Arabidopsis thaliana: one gene and its partners. The protein of the gene in region 2 interacts with the protein of the main gene of each other region in a pairwise test. Each region holds a gene or a part of one and is shown on either strand. Other genes may lie near its edges.

What was found. The genes of interacting proteins can lie anywhere in the genome.
Region 1: the proteins of TCP4 (region 2) and HSFB3 interact in binary tests that used the Arabidopsis thaliana proteins (3 or more experiments, as listed by UniProt).
Region 3: the proteins of TCP4 (region 2) and AT4G29100 interact in binary tests that used the Arabidopsis thaliana proteins (3 or more experiments, as listed by UniProt).

What each region holds. Positions count from the first base shown.
Region 1 is NC_003071.7:17,379,953-17,383,380, forward strand, and holds HSFB3 (heat shock transcription factor B3), read left to right. Parts: upstream 1-1,694; 5' UTR 1,695-1,770; coding exon 1,771-2,067; intron 2,068-2,187; coding exon 2,188-2,625; 3' UTR 2,626-2,899; downstream 2,900-3,428. Other genes in the region: ABCA1 (ATP-binding cassette A1), read right to left, coding at 3,287-3,368. UniProt on the Arabidopsis thaliana protein: Transcriptional regulator that specifically binds DNA sequence 5'-AGAAnnTTCT-3' known as heat shock promoter elements (HSE).
Region 2 is NC_003074.8:5,060,076-5,064,691, forward strand, and holds TCP4 (TCP family transcription factor 4), read left to right. Parts: upstream 1-1,605; 5' UTR 1,606-2,232; coding exon 2,233-3,495; 3' UTR 3,496-3,523; intron 3,524-3,605; 3' UTR 3,606-4,077; downstream 4,078-4,616. UniProt on the Arabidopsis thaliana protein: Transcription factor playing a pivotal role in the control of morphogenesis of shoot organs by negatively regulating the expression of boundary-specific genes such as CUC genes, probably through the induction of miRNA (e.g. miR164).
Region 3 is NC_003075.7:14,339,042-14,345,542, forward strand, and holds AT4G29100 (basic helix-loop-helix (bHLH) DNA-binding superfamily protein), read left to right. Parts: upstream 1-1,923; 5' UTR 1,924-2,098; coding exon 2,099-2,427; intron 2,428-2,662; coding exon 2,663-3,041; intron 3,042-3,311; coding exon 3,312-3,392; intron 3,393-4,023; coding exon 4,024-4,089; intron 4,090-4,248; coding exon 4,249-4,314; intron 4,315-4,582; coding exon 4,583-4,642; intron 4,643-4,797; coding exon 4,798-4,842; coding exon of another isoform or gene 4,843-4,884; exon of another isoform or gene 4,885-5,336; coding exon 5,337-5,534; 3' UTR 5,535-5,972; downstream 5,973-6,501.

The DNA.
Region 1 (3,428 bases), on a different chromosome or scaffold from region 2:
TCTTATTGTTCAACAAATAATTTCAACAGGACATATATATGGATCACTACTGTTAAAACGATATAGTAGAGCTTAAGCGTTAGGATTTGTATTATTAGTTGTCTCTCTCTTTTACAGACGCGTGGAAGGTACGCGCCGTCATAGGAACATTGTCGGTAATCCCCTTCAAACACCAGTAGTCAGTAGATCGATGACTTGAATTACATCACTGTCCCCTACTTTGACCAATAGAGATCTAAAGGTTTCCTTTCTTGCATTATTGTGCTAAAACCGACATTTACTTAAGTTACTTGATTATGTCTTGGAAAAAAAAAAAGATTTTAACTTTGGGAACTTTTATTCAACTGAAATTTTAAAGAATTATTTAATTTGGAATTCCTTCTATAAATTTACTGGCTTTTACCGTTATACGTTACCATAAACTTATATATATGATCAAATTCGACCGTGATGAATGATCACTTTTTTAACTTTCCATTCAGATCAACTGAACCCCCTTACTTTTTCTATATATACTCTTTTAAGCACTTGTTTATATATTATCAACAAATTAAGGTGTCGAAAGTAACATACAATTAGACAAAGCATGTATAGTCAAAAAGATAGATAGTCATCAATTTTGAAAAACGAGCAATTTACATGATCCTACAAAACAACAAAACTAACTATATGAAATATCAAGTTTATAATCATTTTTAAAAATACCATTACAAAAGATTTGTACTTTGAATATAATTTAACATGAAATTTAGAAAACGATCTGTTTAAGAATATAACTTCTGCTATGTGGTATTTTAACTGGTACTTTATAGAGAAAAAAAGATTGGTAATTAATGTGATATTTTTGCAATCCATATTATATATTCGAGAGATTTTACTAATGATAGTACTTGATTAATCATTAGAGAAAACTAAATCTTACAAATATAGGTAGACATGATGAATAATATGCATGATTTGCGTTTCGTAAATTGATAGTACCACCTCACCTAAAGGGGGTCCAAACGAGTTGCTTCATATCACAATATCCAATTTTACCAACATACATTAATATATGTGTATTCACATATATACCTCGTGATTAATATTTTTTTTAAAATCATTTTTCGTTTGTTTCCTATACGTCTAATCAAACACACACGTTACAACTAAAATTATATTGACAATATAGCTCGGTTGGTAAAAGCAACGACTACTGCAGTTTCCCTGAAAAACTTAAGACCAGTACTAAATATCAACTATACAAATTAAGTTGATATCAGTTTTTTTGGGGGTAAAGTAATCCAATATCATTCTAAAATTAAAAGCAAAATGTCGTTAGTTATACATGTTAGAGACGAGCGTTGTGTTTGAGAAAAAAAAGAGTTATGTCGTATAGTGGATTCGACGTAAATATTATCGATGGTTGGTTTCAAACCTGAAAAATTACATGTCATATTGTCATCAAACATCGATTTTCATTTGATATAAGAAAAATATATTTACAAACACAATCGTGTGTGTGTGTATGCATCATGATTATATGCATGTTAGTGTTAGAGTTACATATTCTATAGAATATGTAAATAGTTAGAAGCGTACGTTCCTTGAAAATTGTTCAAAGTATTTCTATTATTGTTTTCTTTTGTTAAAGTATTTCTATTATTGTCTCAACCACCTAATTAAATTAAATAACGTCTCTATCTCTTTCTATGGAGTCGTGTTACGTCTTTCTAGTTTGAGATCTTCTACTACTTGTTTTCTTCAAGAATAATAATTTTCGTTTTATATATGGAAGATGCTGGTGAACATTTACGGTGTAACGATAACGTTAACGACGAGGAGCGTTTGCCATTGGAGTTTATGATCGGAAACTCAACATCCACGGCGGAGCTACAGCCGCCTCCACCGTTCTTGGTAAAGACATACAAAGTGGTGGAGGATCCGACGACGGACGGGGTTATATCTTGGAACGAATACGGAACTGGTTTCGTCGTGTGGCAGCCGGCAGAATTCGCTAGAGATCTGTTACCAACACTTTTCAAGCATTGCAACTTCTCTAGCTTCGTTCGCCAGCTCAATACTTACGTACGTATATATGCTTCACTGTTTCAATCAGTATTTTAAACTATTTGTGTTTCTTTGAGTTTACTAAGTGTATTTGCTTAATTAAAGGCATTAATGAGTGTTGTTACAAAAATATTATAGGGTTTTCGAAAAGTAACGACGATAAGATGGGAATTTAGTAATGAGATGTTTCGAAAGGGGCAAAGAGAGCTTATGAGCAATATCCGAAGAAGGAAGAGCCAACATTGGTCACACAACAAGTCTAATCACCAGGTTGTACCAACAACAACGATGGTGAATCAAGAAGGTCATCAACGGATTGGGATTGATCATCACCATGAGGATCAACAGTCTTCCGCCACTTCATCCTCTTTCGTATACACTGCATTACTCGACGAAAACAAATGCTTGAAGAATGAAAACGAGTTATTAAGCTGCGAACTTGGGAAAACCAAGAAGAAATGCAAGCAGCTTATGGAGTTGGTGGAGAGATACAGAGGAGAAGACGAAGATGCAACTGATGAAAGTGATGATGAAGAAGATGAAGGGCTTAAGTTGTTCGGAGTAAAACTTGAATGAAACTAGATTGCTAGATTGATATTCGTAATATACCAGTTTCTTCATATTCTTAGAAGTTTTGCATAACTATATATAGTACTCTTTTAAGACATGCAAGATCAGAACATATGTCCGAGAAATATCGGATTCTTTGCTGTATTGGTTAAGTCTCGTGTTCATAACATGGTACATCGTGTGTATATATATAGCCATTAACTAAGAGAACGTTTTCTCATGTATTTGCGAAATTTAAAACTATTTTGGGTAGATGAGATGAGTTACATCTCACTTTGGGCTGTGGTCAGGATGATTTTGGTTATGTAAGCCGCGTTAATAATGGTATCACTAGCTGCAAAATGGTTGAATTTTGGTAAATCTCAACTCTCAACTTTCAACTCTCAAAGCAGGCCTAGAACTAGAAGTAAAAGATTGGCATTCTCTTATTTCGAATTTAGGCCAGAACATACGGCACATTAGGGTTTTTTCCAGATTTTTAGTTGATGGAAGATAAAATATGAGGCATCATGTATATAGACATTAAGACCACAGGTTTCTCATGTATATGTCATATTTACAACTATGTTGAGTACGCAGATGAGATTATAATAAGTGATCAGATCTCTCTTTGGGCTATGGTCACAAAGGGTTTTTGTTGTACAAGCCGCAATAATGGTTTCACTGGCTATGAGTTAGCTGCAAAATGATTGAATATGGTCTCAAGTGTGGATTGACTTATACTGTATTCAGCTATTCCCAGCCGATTCCTGCCATAGAATGAAGCAAATTTCTTTCCTCAGACTTACAAAGACTGATGTTGTGTGGAT
Region 2 (4,616 bases):
CTATTTCATGTTTAAATATTATATTTTGTTTTGTTTGATTAATTATTTTATTGTGTTCGTATTAGGTTTGTTAATTGACCCTTTTCTATCATGCTAATATGTCACTTTCTGATTTATTATTACATTAAAGTAGGTGGTCTAATAGTAATTATTTATATGAATAGTTTTAAACTATCAAATAATGCTGTATACTATATATATTTTTCCAACTAAAAAATTATATAGTTATGATCCTTTGCGTCAAGTTTTTATTATTGCTTTGAAGAAAAAACATATTCAACTACTTGAAAATTACGTTAGCTTACCGTACGTGTGTTCAAATTTAATATGCTACAAAATTGTGTGAACAATATAATAGGTTTGTTGTATTTATTCGTTTTTCACCAATCTGGAGATATTTTGTGGTACAAGTATTATAACCACAATATATTCCATACATGAATTAGTTGTGAGAGTTATAGTCAAATTGGTTGGGATTCAAGAAGCATTATACTATTATTATAGAGTCCCACCAATTATTTTTGAACTCGTAAAATTCTCAAGATCTTAGAAATGTCTCCGTTGAAGCTTAGATTGTCTTTTACTCACCTTTATTAGTTTATTTATACGTCGTATTCTTCAATTTCAAAATACCTTTCATATATGAATTTGGGTGATATGCACACGAACACGATACGGTGAAATCAATTAGTTCCACAAGTCAAAATAGCTAGAAAAGAAGTATTGGATTTTAGAACAAAGAATAACGAGAGTCTTATTGTGTTTGTTACTAGTTTATAGAATCTAAAACAGGATTGCAAAAAACAAAAACATCAAAAACGAAGATGAGAGATGAAAAAAGAAAATCTTAGATTATAAAGAGCCCTAATTGTATTGCTAACTAATATTATATTCTTCTTTTAACGAGTTCGATTTTTCGAATAAAATCTACTTTAGTTAACTATTGAGATTCTTACAACAAAAAGGTAAAAAGAAGTGGAGCATCAACAAGCTTTATGTATTTGCATTGAACTAGCATGGGTCAACCCTTAAAAGAAACCGAGAAGCACAAAAGGTTGAATTGAACCTTGACCCATCTAACACCATAGGTTTTTAGGGTATTTATTCATTTATTGAATTCGGAAACTCGAAAAATAAAGTAGCTAGTTCATTCCAGTGATTTCAACTTTTTAAGTATATAATCCCCATGATTATGTATGTATGTGGACATGTCCACGAAAAGAGTGCCCATTTTCATATCAAGGAAGTTAGTAACTCTGACCAAAAGTAGATGTTTTAACACATCTTAGTATTTTTATATCACACTAAATTAAAGTAGTCTGTTTAATGTATTCTCTTAGAAAATAACATAATGATTTGCATGCACATAACAAATCCTATACTATTATTTTGGTAAACAAATTTGGTTTTGGAAACATCTAACTCTAAAAACCATCATTATTATTATTATTATTTTTTTTCTAATATTTTGGCATCCTACAATTTAGTTTATGATTGTGTTGATTATTATTTGGTTGTATTTGCATCTACACATTAAGTTAAACATTGATTTTAAAAATTAACATGAACAAAATGAATACTTACTGTTAAAACCTTATAACAATCAGATTTTTTTTTTAAACAAAGAATGGAAAAAAATGAATAAATTTGGGAAACGAGGAAGCTTTGGTTACCCAAAAAAGAAAGAAAGAAAAAATAAAAGTATTGAATGTGGAGATGAGAGGAAAAAAACACTTACTGTCATCTTACCCAGTTGCGTCATCATCAAACCCACAACACTCTCTTCCTCTTCCCTCTTCCTTCTGCTTATTTTACTTTTTCTCTTTAACCATTTTCCCGAGAGAGAAAAATAAAAAGAAAAGCTTTCTCTGGGTTTTTCTTGATTGGTCAATTACACATCTCCCTTTCTCTCTTCTCTCTCTCACCTTCGCTTGCTTTGCTTGCTTCATCTCTTTGGTCTCCTTCTTGCGTTTTCTATTTACTACACAGACCAAACAATAGAGAGAGACTTTAAGCTATAGAAAAAAAGAGAGAGATTCTCTCAAATATGGGTTAGTCCACAATTTTCACTAAACCTCTTCTTCTTAGGATTGTTTTTAGGGTTAGGGTTTTGAGGTGAGGAGAGCAAGTATGCGGGAGTTTCATCCTTTTTGAGTTACTCTGGATTCCTCACCCTCTAACGACGACCACCGTCGCCGCCGCCGCCGCCGTCTCGACGAATATGCTCTACCAATGTCTGACGACCAATTCCATCACCCGCCGCCTCCTTCTTCAATGAGGCACCGTTCTACGTCGGATGCGGCGGACGGCGGCTGCGGCGAGATTGTTGAGGTGCAAGGTGGTCACATTGTTCGGTCTACCGGAAGAAAAGACCGCCACAGCAAAGTCTGCACGGCTAAAGGGCCACGTGACCGGCGCGTGAGACTCTCTGCTCACACGGCGATTCAGTTTTACGATGTTCAAGACAGGCTTGGTTTCGACCGACCTAGCAAAGCCGTTGATTGGCTTATCAAAAAGGCTAAGACTTCCATTGACGAGCTCGCTGAGCTTCCTCCCTGGAATCCCGCCGATGCAATTCGCCTAGCCGCTGCTAACGCTAAACCCAGAAGAACCACCGCCAAAACCCAAATCTCTCCGTCTCCGCCACCGCCGCAACAGCAACAACAACAACAACAGCTTCAGTTCGGTGTTGGCTTCAACGGAGGAGGAGCAGAGCATCCGAGTAACAACGAGTCGAGTTTTCTCCCGCCGTCAATGGATTCAGATTCGATAGCTGACACTATAAAGTCGTTTTTTCCGGTGATTGGCTCTTCAACGGAGGCTCCTTCGAATCATAACCTTATGCACAACTATCATCATCAGCATCCGCCGGATTTGCTTTCTCGAACTAATAGCCAAAACCAAGATCTCCGTCTCTCGCTGCAATCGTTCCCGGATGGTCCACCGTCGCTTCTGCACCACCAACATCACCACCACACCTCTGCTTCCGCCTCCGAGCCTACTCTGTTCTACGGACAGAGCAATCCGTTAGGGTTTGACACATCGAGTTGGGAGCAGCAGTCGTCGGAATTCGGAAGGATTCAGAGACTAGTGGCTTGGAACAGCGGCGGTGGCGGCGGAGCAACCGATACAGGAAACGGAGGAGGGTTTCTGTTCGCTCCTCCTACTCCTTCAACGACGTCGTTTCAGCCAGTTCTTGGCCAAAGCCAACAGCTTTATTCTCAGAGGGGTCCCCTTCAGTCCAGTTACAGTCCCATGATCCGTGCTTGGTTTGATCCTCACCATCATCACCAATCCATCTCCACCGACGATCTCAACCACCACCATCACCTTCCTCCACCGGTTCACCAATCAGCAATCCCCGGAATCGGATTCGCCTCAGGTGAATTCTCTTCGGGTTTTCGCATACCAGCACGGTTTCAGGGCCAAGAAGAGGAGCAGCACGACGGTCTCACTCACAAGCCGTCCTCTGCTTCCTCTATTTCTCGCCATTGACAATCGAAACTAATCCTCTAAGTTTCAGGTTTATCTCAAGTTCTGTCCTTTTACATCAAATTCACTACTTTTGTACTTCTTTGGTCATTGAACTTTAAACCATTTTGCAGGGCTTGTCTAGCTTCCATGCACATTGAAGCTTGACTTAGATTGTCCGGAACAGGGAAGGTGTTCTCGGTTTGTGTAGTCAATGGCCTGAATCTAGAAAACGCAAGGAAATGAAGAAAGAACAACAGTTTCAGGTTCTTCTTCTTCTTCTTCCAATATCTTAACCTTGCCGATTGTAATTTTTCATATTTTCACCAGTTAGACCAACGTTCTTCTGTAGCTCAATTATGGTTAGATTCCAAGGTTTCGTCTTGTTGTGTTATGTTTGTAACTTTGTATCATCATCATCCTATTGTTACTGCTCCCTGTTCTTATTGTGTAACTCCGTGGATGTTCTAATAAAGTCTGAAACTTTCTCTTTGGGTTTTACTTTTACTGCTCTGTTCAGGCTAGATCCTTGTTATTTAAACAACATGAGATTCCTATTTCTCACGTAATCTTTTGGTCCCAAGAGATATAAGTTGGTCATTTTCCATGAACAGTAAGTTTTGAATTGTTTCTTCTTCTGGAACATCAGGGGGATTTAGCCAGTTCCCTTAAATTACAAGTGAAACTTAGCTCACTAAGAGTAAAAATATGATTATTGTTTTCTATGTCTGATGTCAATAATTGTTCTCTCTCACCTACTTTAGTGGTAGGAGGAGATCCACCAAACTTGAATGTGATGTTGTCTTTGATGAGTAAAAGAATGGGGACATGAGATAGGTAAAGAGAGCCACCCATGTTGGTCTAAATGAAGGAAGTTGATCAAAACTAGTCTATCTTCTCTATCATCATCATCTTTTGATAATAATATTGGATTTTTGCAAAGTTTAGTCAAAAACACTTGGGGTCTAAATGCATGTGTATTATAAGAATATTTAACTTTACCTTTTAATAGAAAAGCAGCAACACCTTTTCATGTGATGTAATCAAAACACACCAGATGGATGAGTTGAGATATCATAAAGTACGTTTACATCAAAAGATAGAAAAGAAGAATCTTCAATTTAAAGGTCTAATGAGTCATGACA
Region 3 (6,501 bases), on a different chromosome or scaffold from region 2:
TTTGTATTTTTCTGATCATGCTTGGACAAAAAAAATGACTCGTTCAGGTTAGAATTTAAAATTAAGTGTATGCGTCATATGACACAATGCTCTCGTCATCTTGTGTCTAACAGAGTGAAATAAAGAACGAACAATTGTTTGTATACACACAAATACAATCGCACCTACATGTGCACATATTTTATTACGCTTATCTATAGAAAACTGTTTGATACATTTTTTCATTCTAAAGTAAATACACAATCCAAAAAATACTATGTCATGTTAAGAATGTTTAGTATATCTATTTATTTTAGGACAAGGAACATTTAACATATAGTAAACAGTTTTAACAAAATTTCTCTGATTTGAAATATATTTTTTATATTATCAGTAAAAAGAAAACTGTAAAGGTAATTATAGTCGTTGATTAAGATTATACTTAGTTTTTTAAAATAACATGTTTTAAAAATTTTGCAAAATAAGTTTTTTTTTTTACATGTCTCATAATTTTTGTCCTCAGTTTATGTTAAAAATATTTTGTTATTTTGATACTAACATCTTCCATACGCTGAAAACATCTTTGAGAATATTTTTCAAAACACAATATACAAAAATCCACAGTGACTTTATTCCACGATGAAATGATATCAAGACATATATGTTCTTACCTTTACCTTTCAACGAAAATGAGAGAAAAAATATATATATATAGTATCACTTTTAGAAAATGTTTTTTTTTGCTAATTAATTATTATATAAAAATGTTGAGAGCAACTTGATCATATATGTAATAAAGTCGCAGTGAAAAAAAAAATGTAATAAAGTCGCATACCGACGTTGTGACTCGTTTTTATGTAATTGATTAGTTAAGTACAGAGTTCGTTAGATGTATTTGCATTGTTACAATTACAGAAAACCCTACGCAACACAATTCAGTACTTTTTACGTCAGCAAAAATAGAATCTTTCGTTGAAAATAATACCAGAATCGTTCTTGTCTTTAATTTTCTTACCTTTTTGTAATTGGATATGATTTTTGACTATGGAATTATTATTATTTTATTCTATAAAATTATAGTTTTTATTATTGGAATCATTTATAAATGCTATTACTCAGTGTTCTTTAAAGTCCATACTAACGAATTCAAGTACTTATTTAACAAAACAAAACAAACAAATACTAATAAACTAAAAGTACAAACATTACTATGTTATTAAAAAAAGCATATAGCTGCGTGATTTTAAAGGTATATGTGACATATAATACAACGACGCCGTCGTATTTTATTGAATTTTTTTGTCACTTTTAATTAGTATACAGTGAGGAAATAAGCAAAAAGAAAGAAAAAAATATTGTTGGCTCGGCTAGTACCTATAAATAAAAACACTAGTATTTGGCCCAGGATATAATCATTGCAAGTTTAGAACTAGTTAGCTAATCTAAACCGTTAGATCAAAGAAGCAATCTTACTAATCAGAAAAACAAAATTCAACAAGTTACAAGAATGAAAAAAATAGGGATAAAAAAAAGGATAATTCATTTACATTCGATCAAAAGGCGAATGCATAGATCATAGATGCAAGACACTTGTGAGTTGTGATATAACCAAAAATTTATTTAATTATATGTAATATATATTCGAAAAATTTATACACCGTATATAAAATATTCGAATAATCCTTTTCTTTGATTTAAAAATATTTTCTGCTTGTTTTCTCAACTCATGTATTAATTTAAATAATAAAAGTAGCTACCACCTTTCTCTGCCCCACTTTAAGATAAAGCTAAAGCATGGAAAAAAGCATGGGAAAAAAGTAAATATATGATATACAATCAAATAAATCTAAAAAAATAGAAAAGAAAAATTAAAGGAACGAAAAAAAGAGGGAGGAAAAAGACAAAATTAAAAAACAAAAATAAAAATTCCAAAAAAATTAACATCACATGTTATCAAATGAGATCAAAATTTAAGTTAGTTTTGAGTTTTCTCTCTCTTTCTCTTCTCTAAAACTACTTAAGCTAAAGAATCAAACACTTCTCAACGTTTCTCCAAAGCCTCTGATTAGTAAACACATAAAGAGATCTATAGAGAGAGAGAGAGTAGAGATAAAAGGTGATGAATAGAGGTGTGTTGGAGAGTTCGCCGGTTCAGCAGCTGATGGCAGCCGGAAACCCTAATTGGTGGAACGTAAGCGGCGGCATGAGGCCACCACCACCGTTGATGGGTCATCAGCAGGCGCCGTTGCCACCACATATGACTCCTAATAACAATTATCTCCGACCACGGATGATGCCCACTCCCTTCCCGCACTTCTTGCCATCTCCGGCGACTTCTTCTTCTTCCTCTTCTTCTTCACCGTCTTTGCCTAATAACCCTAATCTCTCTTCTTGGCTTGAAAGCAATGATCTCCCTCCTGAGTCTTGGAGCCTTAGCCAACTTCTTTTGTAACTATCCCTCTATCTCTCTCCCTCTATAAATATTCCAAAATGAAATATTCTCTATACGCACATGACATGATCTTGTGTTTACTTACTAGTTCACTCTTTGTTTTCTCGTGTGTTGCTACTTAGTCCTAATTACCTTTTTGTTATACGTATATACGTATATACATGTATGTGTTTGTATTTTAAGTATCAAACAAACAATCTAATATTTTGGATATTTTCTTTGTGAACTTAGGGGTGGATTGATGATGGGAGAGGAAGAGAGATTGGAGATGATGAACCATCATAATCATCATGATGAACAACAACACCATGGTTTTCAAGGGAAGATAAGATTGGAGAATTGGGAAGAACAAGTGTTAAGCCACCAACAAGCTTCCATGGTGGCTGTTGACATCAAACAAGAGGGTAACATTAACAACAACAATGGCTATGTCATATCTTCCCCGAACTCACCTCCTAACAAATCTTGTGTTACAACAACTACCACAACAAGCCTCAATAGTAACGACGATAACATCAACAACAATAATAATATGTTGGATTTCTCTAGCAATCACAATGGTCTTCACTTGTCAGAAGGGAGACACACTCCTCCGGATCGATCCTCTGAGGTAACACTTTTTCCACATCTCAGAGATTTTGATAATATACGGAAAAAGCTCGGAAATAATATCTAGTTTTACACATAAATTAGTAAACACATCAACTACTATGAAAAAGTGAAATCTAAAACGTCATTTAAAAAGATCAGGACAACATATTTTATTTTAAGGTTTGGATCTAAATTCAACACGCAACCAGGATGAGTTTTGCTCTGAATTTTTTTTGATTAAATGACTAATTGATCTTTGTTTTGTTTGTTATCTATATATGTGATGCAGTGTAACAGCTTAGAGATTGGTGGGTCTACTAATAAGAAGCCAAGGCTCCAACCTTCTCCTTCGTCACAATCAACCCTCAAGGTAACTAATTGATTATATCAACGAAACTTTGGATAACTTATATAACGTTTTCTGTATATAAATTCCCTCCCTGACATCATACTAACAAAACAAAAACACAAACACAAAGGAGAACAGAAGAAGCAAACAAAACAGAATGGGCACAGAATAAGCTGTGTGGTTTTGTGTTTTGTAACTCTTTTGTTCTCTCCTGTTTTGTCTTCTTCTTCATTCTTCAATATTCCTTTCCTCTCTTTATTTCATAAAAATCAAACTTAAATTAATAAATTTCAACATTCTCCTTAGAATTAGACGACACTATATGTAATAAATTTTATTTTATAGAATATGGACATTTTGAGAGATTTCAAAGTTCTGTCAAAAAAAAAAAGAGATTTAAAAGTTTTGTTTTTTTCTGTAACTTGTTTTGAAACGTAGAAATGGAAGAGTCGCATTAGACATTGGATTCAATAATATCATGATAATTATATATACTAGTGAAAGTAAAATAATTGTTTATCACTTGTACATGCTAAGTAAGCACGTTTTCTCTATGCATGGTAATTAGTAAAAATAATATGACCACACATGCACATATATATAGAAAGCTTTTTAATTGATGCTATTAATTAATCTATGGTGGTAATTAAAGGTGAGAAAGGAGAAACTAGGAGGCCGAATCGCAGCGCTTCATCAGCTAGTATCTCCATTTGGAAAGGTAAAGATCGATTCCATTAACAAATCAAATTTATTAATGTCGTCTAATATTCCTCTATCAAATCAACTTTTAACATTAATTGTGGAGATTTTTTTAGTTTCATTCTTGTTAATCTAAAATCTAAATCATTCTTCATCCCTTTTTACCCATCTTTTGCAGACTGACACAGCCTCTGTCCTGTCGGAAGCTATTGGATACATTAGATTCCTTCAGAGTCAAATTGAGGTGTGACTCGTCTTTTCCAAACTCCAAATATTCTCATTCAGTAAAATAAAAATAATGCTTATGATTACTCCGTTTACCAAAAAAAAAAAGAAGAAAAAAAGGTTGTGATTACTGAGAAATAAATTACAGAATAAAGCATAATGATATTATATAAGAAAGAATAAAGATAGTAGTATAAAGTTTTGTTCTCTCCATGTTAAGTAATATTTGATTGATGTGATTATATATAAAGTATTTATGACTTTTTGCAACTGTTGCACTGTTGCAGGCTCTGAGTCATCCATACTTTGGTACGACTGCCTCGGGGAATATGAGGCACCAACAACATGTAAGTAGCAAATTTTCGTATATATACTGATATACACAAACAAATCATCATGCTATCGTTTTATACCCTTAACTTCTTCTTTTTCGATAACCTACACGAAACTTTTTATACTTATATATTATCTCTTAAGTCTTAACTATGGTTTATATGAATAGTTGCAAGGAGATAGGAGTTGCATATTTCCTGAGGACCCTGGTCAGGTACGTCCATTTTTTCTTGGTCACTATACTTTTAATATATAATTAGAGTCACTATACTTTTTATTGGATCAATTGAATCCAAATCTAAAAAATGTGGACAGCTTTAGTTTCCAAAATTTATCCTTTTTTTTCTTTTGTTTTTTTTCTTTTCTACTGTTTTCTTTAAAGTAAAGTTGGATTAATATTAAAAGATGCAGCGGCCAGCTTTTTTTTCACCCTCCCTTACATTATTATAAACCAAAAAAGTTCGTTAAAACCAACAAAGCCACTAAATTTATTTAAATATCAACTTTTTCTCCTTACTTGTTTTCTTCATCTAAGTGAAATTCAAATTCCTTTGGCGGGGTTTTATATATGCTTTTCACTAGGGGAAATTCAATGATTTTTTTTCTTATCACCTCTTTATATAGGTGTTAGAGAACATGTGTTTACTTTTTTTGTTAATCAATGCTATATATCATGATTGTTTTTTTTTTTTTTTGATATGGTTTTAGCTCGTGAACGATCAGTGCATGAAGAGAAGAGGAGCTTCGTCGTCATCTACGGACAATCAAAATGCAAGTGAAGAGCCTAAGAAAGATCTGAGAAGTCGAGGTTTATGTCTTGTCCCAATCTCATGCACACTCCAAGTAGGCAGCGACAACGGCGCGGACTATTGGGCTCCAGCACTTGGCTCCGCCGGTTTCCATTGAGCCAATGAAATTACGCCACGTGGAATTCCAGCGTTAGAGAAAAATGATATAACATCACGAGCAGTCAGTCTACTGAGAAAACAACAAATTGAGTTTCCAAGGCTGATTGCTCATGATGCTATACAAAGTTCTTCGTTTAAAACTTTGCTAGAGAATTTGCGTCTGGCGTCTGATGAATATGCGTTTGGCGTTTCATCATTTGATGCGTTATCAGATGATATGACCAAGTGATCAATTTATGTTCTTGCTTTAGGAAACTGTTTGTTTTCTTTTACCGGTTAATTGTAATTTGTGGTTAAGTACTTATTTTAATTACTTCCACGTGGTTTGTATCGTTATAATTTTGCTATTACTTATAATATGTCTATTGTGTGGGATATATACGACATGCAGACCATTAAAATAAAAAAGTGTGCCGGAAAATATCGATATAAGTTACTTCGTTTGCCTTTTTCATGCGTAGTTCTTAATTCACGTAAATGATCATCCACAATGAAAAAAGAAAAAGAACGAAAAAGTTCAGAAATTATGAATCTTATTAATTATTATTGATAATTATTTTACTTCACTCCACCATATGTGTGAACTAGTGGAGCCTTGGAGGATCACTAACAAAGAAGAAAATAAGAAACAAGATATATCATCACTTTTTGAGAACTTGCTCTTCATTTAAACGGTTCATTTCTTCTCTTTGAAGTTACGATCATCAAAGAACTTCTTAGGGTTGCTCTCAAAAGCCTCCCTCTAAACGCTTTGTCGTCCACCAGATCCAGGAGCAACCATTGTTTTACCGATGTCGGAAGTGCTACCAGAACCACCGCTTCCGCCACTCGTACCAAAATTCTTGGCTCCATCAGCTTTGGTGTTCTTGGCGTCCATGGCTTGATTTTGGGATTGGAAACGATTATAAATTGAAGGTTTGGTTATTTTGTGAATCATGAATTCGACTGTTGAGACTTAGAAAATG